Kluyveromyces lactis: one gene and its partners. The protein of the gene in region 3 interacts with the protein of the main gene of each other region in a pairwise test. Links are inferred from orthologs where the notes say so. Each region holds a gene or a part of one and is shown on either strand. Other genes may lie near its edges. The genes, in order: PEX11, PEX3, PEX19, INP2 and PEX25.

Region 1 (2,584 bases), about 260 kb from region 3:
CATTTTTTTTTTCAATTCTTTTGTCTTTTTAACAATCTGCTGTATTTCGAATACCAGATCAGATTAACAACCGGCTTTTCAATGAAAAGAACAGAATGAAATAATCCCAAAGCGATTAGTCTAAATTGAGGAATATCCACCTATAAAAATAGTGGTGATGTTATCCCGCAGAAGCAATGAATTACGAATAGAAGTGCAAGAGTAGCCGCGAATATGGTGCTCGCTTAATGTCCTCGATGAAATGGAATTTCAAGTAGTTTTCAACAATTTCAACTTTGAAGCCTGTCGAAAAGTGTAAACATCAACAAGTGCGGGTAACATTGGTATTAAAATGATGAAACAATGGTGATAGTATATCCTAATAGCTGCACAGACATCTAGTTAATACGGAGGCATCATCAGAAATTATCCCGGTACCAGCTGAAATTACAATTATCAACATATCGAGTAATATGTTAAGTTGAAAGAAGATACATATAAATATATATATATATATAAACTAAATTAAAGGGAAGGAGAAGTCCTTTAAGCAGTCTTCCAGACATCTTGTAGACCAAAGACGGATGTAGCGACACCAGCCAGGGCGACACTTGATTCGTCATTACGCAAGAATTGCAAGTTATTTAAGACAATGAAAGTATCGATAGAATCCCAGATTAGTCTTCTGAATGCGGCGAATCTCTCATTGTAGTAAGCGGTCAACTTTTCAGAACTAGCCTTTTCGGTTGGTGCATTGCCCTTAGAACTCAAAGAGGCTTCGATCTTTCTTTGAGAAGTGTACAACTTACGGACATCGGTGATCAAACCAGCGATCAACGCAACGAACCAAAACCAGTTTGTGTAACGAGGAACTTTCTTGGCAGTAATAGGAGTAGCTGGGATTAACTTTAGGATGCGCAACAAGTTAATTTGATCCAAAGTTAAATACCCAACATAACCCACATTTTTGATTATGGACAACCATCTAACCCATTGATCTGGAGCAATCTTGTTATCGTATAATTTGGCTGCGTCCTGGATATGATTCAATGGCTTGAAGAATCTCAAAATCTTTCTGACAGACGTGAATTCAGATTGTAACTGTCTATTCAAACCAGATCTGTATTGAACGGCAAGGAATCTAACCAAGTACTGTAGCAATCTCAAGATCTTTTCTCTGCCGGCTGTTTTATTCAACAAAGAAATGAATTTGGTCAACGTAGGATGATAAATAACTGTGTCTAAAACCATTTTTGTTTGTAAAACTTATAAGTTTAGATGTGGAAGATGACTCAGGATAACTGGCTCAGTATTTCAATTGATTTCTGAAGGAGGTAGAATATTGGAAACAGTATATTCAAACAAAGCACTAGAGAGAGATTGTATCGCAGGTGCAACGTATTTCAACAGAGTCTGATGAGATAGGAATACAAGGAGTAGTGAAAATGCTTAAAACTGCTTGTCTTTATTTTCAGCAGTCATTTTCTACTTTATATATAAATATATATATATATATATAAAGTGTGATGTTATACTTCATATGTCAATGGGCATAGATCAAAGCAGGGTCAACAGAAAATAGTCAGGCTCTACGGTAAAAGGAGAGGATTTCCACTTAGCAGCGAAACGTACTTTATTATCAACTTCTTTCGGGTCCCCCACAAAAAATGGGAGGGACAAGTCAGAGCTGCGAAGTTACTAGCACGGAAGATCCTGCTGTATTAAGGACATTTGTACCGGGGGAAGACATGCAACAATAGCAATCTTACTAGGTGAAGACTGGGATCCCGGGAAAAAGGGCGACATAATATTTAGTATGTAGGCGCACATTTTTACGTGTATTTCGGACCAAATGTCCTTCCGCTAACAGCTTGAAAAGGATGGCCCGATTTGTTCCGAAACTCGAGAAAAAAAAAAGGGACAACGAGAAAGCCATGTATGCGAATCGTGTACAGTGATATAATGACGATTTTGTAGTGTGCAAGCATCAATCACGTGATTTATATCATCGAGATGCATTTCCTCTCAACATCGCGAAACACGTAAAAAAGAATCGTTAACTAGCGAGCGATGTCTTCTGCTTTATAATACTGCGTTCTTTTCTATTGTTTACATTTAGAGCCATCAAGCCCAAACCTAAAATCATTTAAAGCATTTGTATATCTCATATTGAAGAAACGCCAAAAGTAAGATTACAATTCCAAATACCAGCCTATATTTTGCCGGTTCAGCTTCCTGAGAATCGCCTTAGATTTATGCCGAGATGGGATACTATGATATAGATGATATACTGGCTGATGGTACTAGATTTCCCTGTAGATTCAACTATGACGTTCCTGGGTTGGGTTATCTGGAGGGAAACCCAGGCAGACCAATATCGAAAAATGCAAAACTAGAGTTACCACTTTGGATGGTCCATCTTCTTGCTGTAGTGGGTGCGCAATCTAATGAAGATTCTAGAGTTGAAGAACCTCTTCCTTTTGTCGAATTGCTCCCGCCTGATTTATTCGCTCCAAGAGTACTAAACGCTATTAAATCTGGTGCTACTAGTCTCGATCTTCACTCAATTAGCCCTCATTTCTACACCCTGGCTGAGAAGTGGGCC
Region 2 (3,244 bases), about 1.1 Mb from region 3:
TCGATCAATAACATAATACTGCGAATTTTTCGCAATGGAACAAAACGCATAATAATCTGCGTGCGTTTCGCACGTAGAAGTACTTCAGTAATATTTCTATTTCTTTATCCAGCGAAAATTCCATATTTGCCTGCCAAAAAAAAAAAAAAAAACGCAAGACATTACACACATTCATACCACATATATGGAGAACCTGTACTCAATACAGGGCGAGTAGTCCTATTTGGACTGTTGAAGTAACATCCACCCTCCGCCAGTATACTTAATTTCAACACTGGCCTAGCTCAAGAAGTACTTTAGTTTGTTTCTCGTCAGCATAGATAATGGTCGCTGATGACTTATCGAATATAGAGACACAGCTACGACAGGTTCGTGAGAAATATCGTGAGCAAGCACACTCGCTCTCGCCAAGCGATGCAGAATCATGGTCAACCTTGGCATCAAATTTGCAGAAAGTCGTCACAGAAATGGATCAGCTTTTGCAGCGGAACTCTAAACAGATGAACGTATCCTTCCTATTGAACCACGAGTCATCATCGCTTCAGGCTGGAATACAGCCACCGCAACCGCTTCTACAGAACCTATACCAAAAGAACGGGAACGACGAACAGCAGAACCATCTCAAAGTCAAACTCGATAGAACTGCGTTCTATTCGGAAAATTCCCCCTTCCAACATCAAATGGATCGGTCTGGTTCATTCAGACTCTGTCCACCTTTAGCACATACAAGTGCAGAAGATTACTTCCGCAACGATACGCAAACCCCAATTATGATCTCAGATGGCCAGATCCTGGAGAACTTGGCCAATCTTAAACGTCTCACTGAGATGCAACGCCAATAGGTGGATGTAATCTTCGTTTTCGTTTGAGATTCGACACATCACATATATGATCCATCTTTTATTTGAGTCATGCGAACGTTTTTGACCAATTATACACATATACACATATAATATGTATAGTAAAAGATAAAGCTGTAATGATACACTATAAAATATCTGTTGGCACCAGTTGCAGAACCATAGAGGTTCAATACCCAACGCAATTCTATCTCTTTGGTATATGTTTTCTCTTAAATCTGTCGAATTTGTCGCTCTTTGAGGGGGAAACAAAATTCGAAAAACATTAAAATAACTAACTAGCAAGTAAACATCAACATCAATAAAGTATCAAGACAAACAACGACACTAGGAAAGCTCTACACGCAATCTGACAACGGCTGTAGTGGAAAATCAATAGAAGAATTACATTGCTCTAAGTTATAAGTTATTTTTTTACCCCTCATCATGACTGGGAATCGATCTCTGGTTCAGAGACACAGAAAGAAGTTCGTTGTTTCTAGTGTTTTGTTTGCTACGCTATTTGCTACATGCGCTATTACGGTCTATTTCAGTAAAAGATGGTTGTACAAGCAGCATTTGAAAATGACGGAGCAACGATTTGTCAAGGAACAGATCAAACGGAGGTTTGTACAAACTCAGCAGGACTCGTTGTACACTCTTTATGAATTGATGCCGGTAATGACGTTAGTGTTGGCTAAGGATTTCGATCTTGATTCTATTGTAGAGGCTCTAAAGGGGAAAAAGTTACAGAAGAAGCTTTCCAAAGGTGAAATAGCTGGGAATGAGTTGGAAAATGAGGGCTTAAGTTCAGGAATGAGTGCGATGACGCCTGCACCCAGTGTGTCAGCGAAATCTCCGCAATCTGCAGATACCACTAGCGTTTCTGAAACGTCTACGAAATCCAAGGCCGAGCTTTGGGACGATTTGAAACTCAAAGCTATCACCAAGATCATTATCTTGTCCTATACCACATCATTATTGATGCTTTTAACCCGATTGCAATTGAATATATTGGCAAGAAGAGAGTATTTGGATACTGCCATCAATTCTGCCATGGAAAAGGAAAGGGAAAAGAAGGCTAATCAATACTCAGTCTTATCTTGGTTCTCTAGTTGGATCACTGAAAAGAGCAACAATTTACCCAGTGAAAAAGCTGACCCAAGAAACAGCGATGGTACTATTGACACGGACACAAGGAGCATTGCATCCACTGCGAACCCTGAAAAATCGAGATACGTTAACGAACAAGCTTTCTTATCCTTATCGTGGTGGTTATTAAACCGTGGATACCTACAATACAAGAGTATCATTGAACAATTGGTGAAAGAAGAGTTCCAAAATTCGAACCCAAGAGATATCATGACAATGGATGAGTTCAGTGGCAAGATAAGCAAGATATTCGTCACCACAAACAAGCAATTCTTTCAACAGCCACAATCGAATGAAATGTTCATTTCATGTCTACTTCCTGAACCTAACTTAGAGAGATTTGTTCTTCAACAAACTTTAGAACAAGATGCTTTGAAAGTACTATACGAGGATAATCTATTACTAAAACAACTTGTACAAGAGACCAACAAATGCCTACAATCACCTGGAACATGGATTGTCCTGGAGTCTTTAATCGATGAAACATTCCACACAATCATGGAACAAATCGAGGATAATGTCAACAGCAAATCGAAACCTAAATCGAATGATGACGACACCAAAGTAGTCGATATATCCAAAAATTCATATCAAATCGCATTATTCTCTATCGCCACGAAAGACTGCACAAACGAAATGTTGAAAGCGGGACTCGTATCAATGAACAACAAGTTCCTACAGAAACTACACTCCATCTCGGCACTTGACGATCTCAGTGCATGCGTATATAGTAACTTCGGTCTATGAAAACCTTACTTGGCCCTCCATTCAAGTACTGAAATCGCTCCATACCGTGTATGTAGATAGTTCTATAGTTAACGTTACTCTTTCACTGGCACTACGGGGTTTCTCTTCCTGTTTCTTTAATGGCCACGTGATCATAATTTTCTTTTCCTTAAGGTCAAATAACGAAAAGAATCGAATTCCCAACAGGTTGTCAATCAACATGTTATACATCTCAGTTAATGTTTGCAAGTGGATAGGAGCTTGGTGTTTGTAGTTAGTTAGCACCATAGAGTTACCAAGTGGGTTCTATTTAGTACCAGAAAATCATGTCCAAGGAAAACCAGAACGTTGTTTTAGTGAGTGTTGAGGGAGAGAGATTTGTCGTTGACAGGAAGATCGCTGAACGCTCACTTTTACTAAAGAACTACTTGCAAGATCTTAACAGTGGCGATTTGCATGATGATAACGATGCTGACGATGACGAAGATGATGAAGAGGATGGTGACGATGAAATAGTGATGCCCGTG
Region 3 (2,819 bases):
TGAATGGACTAAAACAATCCTCTTTCACTATGAAACAAACTTCGTCCAAAATTTTAACATGGTTTAAGAAGGTAGATCAACTCTTTCATATTCAATTTTCTTTTATTTTGGTTTTTCCATGCTCGAACATAGGACTGTGACAAAAATAGAATACGAACATTCCTCAATTTATTTTGTAAATATGCGAACATATGCATGTAAGAACAAACATGCTGTGTTAAAGAATGGCTAAAAGAAAGGGTGCTCTTTGAGAGGGAAGTGTCTAATGGGAGATACTCAGAAGAGTGCACTGTCCCGTATACCTTATGGCAAAAAGTTGTCACATATATTCAATCTTGCATAGTATATTGGTTATTATTGGTTTAGAGCTAGTCTCGTGATTTCAGTCCTCAATATGAATTTCAAAGTCGAAAAGAGAAAAATAGCCATATTATTCGAATATCATACTAATAGGCAAAGAGTGAAAGAAATAGAATAATAGTTTATTATGATTAAATATTATATTATGAGCTCATATACACATTTTATTGCTGTTTGCAGGTATCTTCAAGGTCTTTGTCGATGTTACCTAGATTTTCATCTCCTTGTATTTCCAGCATCTTGGCTAATTCTGACATATCGTTTCCAGGATCGTTACTAGTTCCCTTTGCAACCGGTGAGTCACCGAGTTGCTCTAGTTCATCCAATAGATCTGCGATCTCAGCATGGTACTTTTCATTCGTATAATCATCGCTTTCGAATACACCGATGATCTGATTCACAAGTGCATACTGTTTCTTGTAGTTATCAATCTTGTCGCTGTGTTCGGGGTCTTCTTCGTGTAATCCCATCCACTCGGTGAATTCTCCCTGCATTTGTTTCATCGGCTGATATAGCACTTCTTTAGAAGACATTTGTGAAAGCATTTTCAAAATGGCATTGTCCATTCCTTCTCCGTCCGTACCGTTGCCATCGCCGTTTTCCACTAGTTGATCTAGCAATTGGGAAAGAATATCGTCTGAGTTCTGATTTTTCTTCTCTTCCTCCAAACTTTCATCCACTTTCGTAGAATTTTCTTTCAATCTATCTAGGGTGTTGGAAATGATATTCTTGAAACCAGTACCGCTCTTCAATTGCTCCTGAACGTGTTTTACACTGTTATGGTCTTTCTCCTTCGATGCATCTCCAAGTACAGTTAGCAATGTCTCGAAATTCTGAACCATTTCTTGGTCAGTATCACCGCCTTCCTGCTGCATCAATTGTTGGAACTGTTTCTGCAAATCTTCCATCATCTCGACTACTTCTGGATCATCGCTCTGCGTAGCAGGCTCACCCTTAGTAACTGCCTCATTTGGAACAGTTTCTTGTTTTTCCTGTTCATCCAGTTTGCGTGGATCCTCTAAATAGTCATCCAAATCATCAAATTCGTCAACTTTGTTGTCTGACATCGTTTGTCGAAGTATCTGATTACTATCCGTTGAAATTTTGGTGGTGCGTAGCCCTTACTATTAATTATACCTCAGTTAAGGTTTCTTTAGTCACTGTCAATTCTGAAAAATATCACTTTTTCTTCAAAACACTATTGATGCTTTTTCTACAATATCAAAATCATCTTCAAAATCACAAACAAAAAGACGTATCGCACGGAATATCATATCCTCCAATTATTCAACAACGGTAAATCTGAGTTAAGGCTCTATTTACAACAGGGCGCAACGTACCTTAATATATTTACGGTATCTGTATATTAAAGCGACTCGACGATCAGAACGGCCGAATAATATAAACAGTCATGAGTAGTCTTTGTCTACAGAGGTTACAAGAGGAGAGAAAGAAGTGGAGAAAAGATCATCCTTATGGGTTCTTTGCCAAACCAACTAAAAAGACAGATGGATCTATGAACTTGCAGAAATGGGAGGCTGGTATCCCTGGAAGAGACGGCACTCTCTGGAAAAATGGTCTTTATCCTTTGACCATTGAATATCCTGATGACTATCCGTCAAAACCTCCTAAAGTGAAATTTCCAGCAGGATTTTATCACCCTAATGTTTATCCCAGTGGAACCATTTGCTTATCAATCTTGAACGAAGATCAGGACTGGAGACCTGCTATCACCTTGAAACAACTCTTACTTGGTGTACAGGATCTTTTGGATTCTCCGAACCCTAACTCACCTGCGCAAGAGCCAGCTTGGAGAGCTTTCTCGAAAAACATTAAGGAATATGAGAGGAAAGTCTCAGAACAAGCTCTTAGGTATACCAAGTGATACCTCCATAATACAACTTCGGAAGTAAACCATTTACTGACAGAGAAAATGCAAATACGCAGATGACGGCAGATATCAACTTGCGGGAAACCCTGGGCCTTCCCCAGCGTAAAGCGCAAATCAAATAAATTTGCTGTATTCTATGGCTCGATTTATTCTACGGTGTTGACCATTGTTATATGGCTGTATAGAGATATATCATAGGATGGAACGATCCAGTAGGTGTATAGTTCTCGTGTAAAATTTAAAATTAATATCAAGAATAATGCTAATGAATACTTGATTTATTCAATTATTTTGTATTTTACTATTATCAGGTGTAGACTGTATATATTTATTGTTTTATTTGTTACGTTCATTTTGTTTGTATGCAATAAAACTATCCAATGTAGAAAAGCAATCCTGACATCTTTCTTTCAGTTGAGGATCTTTGTTCTTGTCAACAAACTTGAAAACATTCTTCAAATTTAATGAAACCTGTGTTTGAAGTATCGAAAGATAGTTCAAGTTTACAAATACTGGTTCATCGTAATCAAAGTTCATGTCTGAGTATATTTCAAAGAATGTGTTCATA
Region 4 (3,991 bases), about 280 kb from region 3:
GAATCTATGCCATATCATATAGCCAAAAAGAAAATTTCGTACTACGATAATGTCAATGACAAATATGTGAAACCATCAGAACCTAACGGTATAAAGTTAGAACAGTTTATTTTTGACGTTTTCCCCTCCATTCCTATGTCTAGGTTTGGTTGTTTGGAAGTCGAAAGAGCAGAAGAATTCTCTCCACTAAAAAACGCTCCTGGAACTGCAAATGATAATCCTGAAACTGCTAGGGATGCTTACCTTCATTTAACTACATCTTGGTTGAAAGATGTAGGAGCACTAGTCAATGATGAAATTCTTGTCGAAGTTTCAAGTCTATTGTCTTACGGCGGGGAAAACCTTGACTCTTATAAAGGCACTGTGTTCGATAAGCAAGGCGAAATTTTGAACTAACCAGGCAGTGTTTATAATATATTCGAAACGATAATGCTGGTGGTTTAAGTTTATTATATATACTAAAATAATACATACTTTTATCATTCAAGTGATATCAATATTGGATGTAGGTCAATCACTTCTTCTGTTTAAAAATTGTTTTAGTTCGAAAAGTACTGGTATACTCTCTTCGGAATTGAAAAGACCTTTGCAATCTATCTGGGGCCTGCCCTTCTTCTGATTTTCTATTTTCCGATTCATCAGCTCAAAACTTTTCTGTTTTCTCAAGTTTTCTCTACTTTTCTTATTTTCAATTGACAGATTCAGTATTCGTTGGTTTAATTCGTGCCTTAACTGGTCGTCTGTAAAACGAGAAAACTTAGAGTCGTTGCTAGAAGCTGTTTCTTGATCATTTTCAGTACCGTACACCAATTCCTCATGTTCTTTTTCAATGTCTGACCCAGTTTCATCTACTTCTAACACGTCTACTAGCGAAGTGAGTTTCGGAAATGAATCAACTACCACGGGGATATCACTGGTCGTCTTTACGATATCAAGATTGAGTCCACCGCTGAAAACTCTCTGACTGGAAGGCCGAGGAGAACATTTCGGTGGTTTCAACTGTTCATGCGAGTTATGTTTATAGTCGATATTCCATATTTGTATTATTCCATTCAACTCATCTATCAGGTGAGAAGAGAGTTCGGTAGATGTTTTGTCCTGTTTCATCAAGTATCGCTGCAATTCAGACAAGCGATAGATACTTTGGGTTATTACAGCTTCCTTTGATTCGGGATCCTCTTTTTCAATAGTACTTCCGTACACGGATAAAAGTAAATGTTTGTAATGATGCAAAACGGGCAACAATGATGAGATACCTTGTGTTAATGTGTATAATTGTTTCGAGATTATTTGAAATCGCTCTATGTCGGAAGTCTTTTCCACATGGTATCCAGGAAAAATTCTCTTCAAGACTAATGCAATCTCACACTTTTTCAGTGGATCAGTGTAGTTTATTGAAAGTAAGCAGCACAGAAAGAACTTTCTCATATATTGCAATCTCTCCAACTTTTGTGTAATGTCCAGACTTTCCACTGTTCGGATCATTTGATATAGGCTTTGCAAATCCACATTGTAAATACTGATATAATCAGTTAACTGAACTGCATTCACAACCGGCAAAATGTTACTAGATGCAATGTTCAATTTGTGAAATAACTGGTCTACTGTACATGTAAGGACATCTGTTAGTAATGTCAGTGTTCTGGCTTCATCTGAACGTAGACCACGATTTTCAGTCAATGCGATTGGTTTGTAAATAGTCAGCTCTTTATAAGTCAGGTGATAACGATAGATTAATTTGTCTACAGATTGCAATGCAGCATTCATCTGTCGTAGATTTAAAAGGGCAGTGTATTTGGAATATTTTGCATGGAAGTACTCTTGCTGTAAAGCTAGATAAACAGCAATCATCAATAAGGACATCAGAGAGGATCTAGGTAGATGTCTCTTATAAAGCATTTTACGGAAAGCTTTTCTTGCCGTCAATATGGTGAACATGTATGGAATTGTTCTCTGTAAATAGAATTTTTTTCCAGAAATTAACAATTGTCCATATTTTGTAGGTATAGTCTTTCCTTCAGCGTTGTGAATCGATAGGGTGTTTTCCTTATTGAAGTTCAGGATTGATTTCTGAACAGTAAATAACTGGTGATGAGAAGCGATCGAGCTTGTTAACAGTTGCGAGGAAATGATTTCATAGTGAAATTCATCAACAAAGGCATCCAGGTCACCATAAGGTAGCTGCTTCATGATCAAATCTACTTGTTTACTCCATCGGCTATCTTCTTCATGTGAGTTCAGAAAATCAGTTCTGTAATCGTTATCAATCAGAATCTCCTGTGATTCAAAGCGATCTTGGCCTACAACAGTCGGCGAAGTGTCCTTCAAAGCCTCAATACCCCACTCACTAAGCTTGCGCAACTGCTGGTAACTGATCGGAACTTGTGGGCGTGAACTGCTCCAAGTCTGTGACGAAGACATCGTTGATGGAGTCGATGCTGCAGATGCCATTTTGGGAATTTCAATCCTAGGGATTTGCAGATGCAAAGGCACCGCTTGGAAAATGTCCATTGTTTTCACTCAAAATGAGAGGATATTCAACCTGTTGGATTGATGGATGAGCCGCTTGACAAGCCTCGAAGTTTTGTGCTACATTGTCCAATGTATTGAGAGTGAGATGTCATTTATATGTAGATCAAGTTACGCTTTTTTTTTATTTTTTTTGTTTGTTTACGTTTACAAAGAAAGTAGTATCCGACAAAATTGATCGTGGAACAAATTGGCAGGAAGACATTATCAAGAGTCGAGATTAAGGCAACAGAACGAAAGAGAGTGTCAATGAAGTCATCAATGAAAACGAATCAGATAGTTTAATGTTACATATTAATTACGGGAAAGGTATATACTCTAGGTACTAAAGAAAGGGAAAAAATTTAGGTCGTCGCCATGCGGTAAATTACATTGGTCAAAAACCAGATGTCATTTGATTTCGATTTTGACTAGTATTACGGATATGAGAGGGAGCTAACATGTAAAACATACATATTACTGCTTCCGCCCTCCCATGAATTCATTACCCAAGCCTGACATATCAAACTGACCAAAATTCAATTTGTTATTTGAACCACCAGAGAATGTATTGAAATCTTGATTGTTAGTAACATCTATTTTTGAGAGAGGTTCTGATTTTTTATTATTGTCTAAAGGCTGAGAAGATGCTTGTGGACCCATAGTGGCTGGCATAGCATATGAATCAAAACTTTGAGGCTGTTGTGTTTGGAGTGACATGGCAAAATGATCTTTGTTCATTGGTTGGTCTTGCTGTTGTGATTTTACCATGTTCTCATAAGCTCTCTGTTGTTGTAGATATTGCTGGGACGGACTTGAATTATCTGATGGATCCCCTTGTCCTGGAAGTATGTTTTGGTTACCCAACTGATGATGCTGTTGATTTTGTTGATTTTGTTGGTGTTGCATTAAAGTCATCATTTTTTGATATTGCATTCGAATTTGCTGTTGCTGTTGCTGGTGCTGTTGCTGTTGCTGGTGCTGTTGCTGTTGCTGGTGCTGTTGCTGTTGCTGATGCTGTTGCTGTTGCTGTTGCTGTTGCTGTTGCTGTTGCTGTTGCTGTTGCTGTTGCTGTTGCTGTTGCTGTTGCTTCTGCTGTAGTTTGGTCCAGTTAGCTTGAACTTGTTGTGATCCGGACGGGCTTGGTTTCTTCACCTTTGACGAGGAATTAACACCTTTGAACTGCTTTGATTCCCCATTAGCTCGTGGTTTAGTATTGGCGCCAGAATCTTTATTAGTTGCTGAACTCTTCTTGGTTTGTTTATTTTTGCTTCCGACCGAAGTATTCTGAGGTTTTGGAGTAGATTTAGAACTTCCCAAGGTCGCTGCATGATAGGGATTCACACCAAGTCCAGCGTTTGTACCAGCATTCGGAGTGGTTCCTAGAACGGGTTGAAATGAGCCCTGTGGCTGTGGTACTCTCACTCCTGCTGGGAAGGAATTCGCGTTGGTTGCATAAGGAGTGTTTCCACTACCGGGTGAA
Region 5 (3,097 bases), on a different chromosome or scaffold from region 3:
AGGTGCTGAGAGTCAAAAATAAGTGGAAGTGTAATTTAAAAGAAGGTGTAGTGACAATAGACCATAAAGACTTTGCTTTCCAGAAAGCCCAGGGAGAAAGTGAATGGTAATTATCCATTTCCATTAGTTCCGTCTCCTTGCATTATTTTTCTCTTTACTTCAGGTTCTAAAGTTAATATTTTTTTTTCCTTTCTATTCTATCCTACTTTCTATCATAGAGGTTTATGTTCATATCTCCTAATCATTATTGATGTTAATTCATTATTCTCTAACCTTCTGACACTATATAATTCATAGAATAATTTATATAATATCGCTTGCAAAGCCGTCCAAATCGGATCTTAATCAGGTACCCATGTAAAGTTATATGTCTTTGAGCACTTCTTTTAAGCAGCATTGCAAAAGTCACTAAAATATAGCCTGTCTGTAGCTTATTGATACTTTGTGTTACTTGTGAGTTATACAGGGAAATGTACTAAGAAATTTTTGGTACACATTTTCAAAGGGTATGTTACTCATTCATTTGGTTGCTCTTTCGCCTGTATCCATAGCTTGGAGAATCCAAGTACACCAGAGCATAGAGACAAAATGGCATATGTACCAGGTGGTGTTTTGATAGAGAACACATCTGTAGTATCAGCTAGGAAATCAAAGAATAGTCTAGTCAGATCAAACTTGACAATGCGTTTCTCATACTGGTAGTTCTTGAGTTTTTGTACTACTTCCAGTTCTAAATCTAGGTTGTCCTGCTTGAAACTCTCGAAGATAGTCTGTTTTATAAGTGCTGTATTCTTATTGGAATCAACAGATGGGGTGGCATTTAATTTTGAGGATAGTTCCAATGCGCGTTGACGTACCTGATACTGGATCTTCAATTCAAATTCCTGTTGTTTGATTGATTGAAGTTTCTCCCAATTTTTCTTCAACCCTAGCATAATGTCGTAATACCATGAGAGAGCTTCGTGTTTAGAAACCCAGGCATGCATCGATTTATTAGACCAAAGTTTAAGTTTGTATAATAGCATCAATTCATCCATGATTCCGTAATATAAGTCGATGAACTCTGAGAGAGATTCCTCATTCCACCAATTTTTGTACCAAACTAGACCTTTAGAATGTAAAGTTGATGACTTTTGGGACGCATAGAAAGTGCTTATGAGCTTTTGGTACCAATGGTAAAGTCTGAATGGGGTACCCCCACATCTCATGATTTGCCTATAGAAACCTAGCTGGCTACTAACCAAAGCACCCTTTTCGAGAAATAATTTCGAAGAGCTAGATAAGAAGAGTTTACCTGAAAGCCTTGGATTCCTTAGGATTGTGAGCAGATTGCCTTTTGAAAATAATTTCAGATAAGCATCCACGTCGATATCTTTATTATTGTAATACATTGACCTCTGTATGAAAATTCGTAGTATATCTATCACATATTTGAATATTTTCGCTATACGATCTTTACCCGTTAGTGTCGCGAAAACTGCTTTCAAAATATCAACCTTGTTCATAACTTTGATCAACTTAACACTGTCACTACGTTTAGAGGAATTATGCACAGTTCTGTCCGCCCTACTCGTTGCACCCATTGTGCTTTCCCCTGCTGATAGAGATAATGTACCATTCTTTTCACTGGCATTAGTACCACTACTTCCACCATCACTGGAAATAACAGTGACTTCTAAGTTATTCAACTTTGTAGGTGTATGTGAATTATTCTGTATCATCATTGAATCATTCCGTGCTGAGATTTCAAATCCCTCCGTTTCGATGCTTACATCCGCTATATTAGGCGGTCTATAAAAATCGTCATTCATATCGACTTATTCTGAATTGTGTAAACGAGCCAATGATTTTCTTATGAGCTATCACCGTCCTTAAGTAGTCGATTCTTCAGGATCAAGATGATTATAGAAATTACAACAGAATGACTGAAGACAGTAATATCCTTTTCTTTCACCACTGAACTAGGAAAAGGAACCAAATTTGCTGACTCTATTTATTGCCGGGATATTTTTCGACTGATTAATGCAGCATTGGCATATGTAAAGGATACTCTTAATATAGTGCAATAATCTATGACTCGTCAGTTATCTGCATCAGCTTTGATTTGTTTTGTTTAAGATTTTCTGTGTTTTACATTTTTCCTTGGGTTTATTTTTTTAATTTTTGGAGACTATGCAGTTTAAACACCAAAGGAAGTCATCAACGGATTGAACTGAGCTGTGGGAACAAAAAAAATGAAGGCTCGAAGCCTTTAAGGGTTTACTGGATAATCCAAATGCTCGGAATTAGTGTCAAAAAGCCGATATTTTGAACTTTGAATACTCCTACCAGTACGCGGCAAAAAGATTGATCACCGATACATACTCAGCGCTCTATTGTGGATGACATTACCAACATTGGATAGATAGGCATCGTGCACGTGACTTGAAATACCTCTTCAAAATGATCGCTCACAATAACTATGAAAAAATGACGTTCATTAGTTTTTCTCCGTTACCCGATCTTCGCTAGTTTTATCACTTAACGAAATGCTGCATACAAACTATTATATCATAGATCATCAAGTCAAGCTTAGCAGCGCGATAATTACCGATCCCAAAGAGAGCGAAATCAAGACTGACATGTATTCTTATCTCGAGATGAGAACAATTCCTTTTTCTGATACTCATCCTCTTTTCACGTCCTGCCGTCCAATCGCCGTCAAAGTAGCAATTTTCGAGGCATGTTCTTTCTTCTATCTCTACATGTGATGGAATGTCACACATAAACGTTTATCTAGCCTGAAACCCTTAGCAATTGTCCCCTCCAACATATTGTTTGGCGATTCATTATATAGGATATGGTTGTTTTTTTTTGTTTTTTAACTATGTATTATTATCAGGAAAATCGGTAAAATACGTCAAAGGAAAGTTTATTGTCGTTAAGTGCAGGAACAAGAGAACGGTAAAGAGATGAAGAGGAGAAGCATCGGTATACACAAGCACTTAACGGATTATTATGAATTAACAGGGGCGAATTTTTTCTCGAACATGTTTCGCTGAATGGGATCGTTATAGTTTTTCGTCAAGTATATAAAGAACCGAGTTTCCCTTCGAGA

What was found.
Region 1: the proteins of PEX19 (region 3) and PEX11 interact in a two-hybrid assay, tested with the Saccharomyces cerevisiae proteins (6 studies listed by BioGRID, with this or other methods). The link is inferred for Kluyveromyces lactis from reciprocal best matches to the Saccharomyces cerevisiae genes PEX19 and PEX11.
Region 2: the proteins of PEX19 (region 3) and PEX3 interact in a two-hybrid assay, tested with the Saccharomyces cerevisiae proteins (6 studies listed by BioGRID, with this or other methods). The link is inferred for Kluyveromyces lactis from reciprocal best matches to the Saccharomyces cerevisiae genes PEX19 and PEX3.
Region 4: the proteins of PEX19 (region 3) and INP2 interact in binary tests that used the Saccharomyces cerevisiae proteins (3 or more experiments, as listed by UniProt). The link is inferred for Kluyveromyces lactis from reciprocal best matches to the Saccharomyces cerevisiae genes PEX19 and INP2.
Region 5: the proteins of PEX19 (region 3) and PEX25 interact in a two-hybrid assay, tested with the Saccharomyces cerevisiae proteins (2 studies listed by BioGRID, with this or other methods). The link is inferred for Kluyveromyces lactis from reciprocal best matches to the Saccharomyces cerevisiae genes PEX19 and PEX25.

What each region holds. Positions count from the first base shown.
Region 1 is NC_006041.1:176,989-179,572, forward strand, and holds PEX11 (Pex11p), read right to left. Parts: upstream 1,231-2,584; coding exon 526-1,230; downstream 1-525. Other genes in the region: SPT20 (Spt20p), read right to left, coding at 1-3; DNA replication protein PSF3, read left to right, coding at 2,243-2,584. UniProt on the Saccharomyces cerevisiae protein: Involved in peroxisomal proliferation. Promotes peroxisome division and biogenesis.
Region 2 is NC_006041.1:1,508,233-1,511,476, reverse strand, and holds PEX3 (Pex3p), read left to right. Parts: upstream 1-1,286; coding exon 1,287-2,738; downstream 2,739-3,244. Other genes in the region: KLLA0_E16985g (uncharacterized protein), read left to right, coding at 324-842; SCF ubiquitin ligase subunit SKP1, read left to right, coding at 3,044-3,244. UniProt on the Saccharomyces cerevisiae protein: Involved in peroxisome biosynthesis. Acts as a regulator of MSP1 by inhibiting the ability of MSP1 to unfold target proteins.
Region 3 is NC_006041.1:441,675-444,493, forward strand, and holds PEX19 (Pex19p), read right to left. Parts: upstream 1,428-2,819; coding exon 525-1,427; downstream 1-524. Other genes in the region: E2 SUMO-conjugating protein UBC9, read left to right, coding at 1,772-2,245; SYO1 (Syo1p), read right to left, coding at 2,588-2,819. UniProt on the Saccharomyces cerevisiae protein: Required for proper post-translational import and stabilization of peroxisomal membrane proteins (PMPs).
Region 4 is NC_006041.1:162,238-166,228, forward strand, and holds INP2 (Inp2p), read right to left. Parts: upstream 2,512-3,991; coding exon 511-2,511; downstream 1-510. Other genes in the region: QRI1 (UDP-N-acetylglucosamine diphosphorylase), read left to right, coding at 1-396; MSS11 (Mss11p), read right to left, coding at 2,986-3,991. UniProt on the Saccharomyces cerevisiae protein: Required for peroxisome inheritance. Acts as the peroxisome-specific receptor for the myosin V motor MYO2.
Region 5 is NC_006042.1:61,542-64,638, reverse strand, and holds PEX25 (Pex25p), read right to left. Parts: upstream 1,812-3,097; coding exon 516-1,811; downstream 1-515. Other genes in the region: TOA1 (transcription initiation factor IIA large subunit), read left to right, coding at 1-110. UniProt on the Saccharomyces cerevisiae protein: Required for regulation of peroxisome size and maintenance. Has a role in the import of peroxisomal matrix proteins. Imports RHO1 into the peroxisome. Also promotes peroxisome division and biogenesis.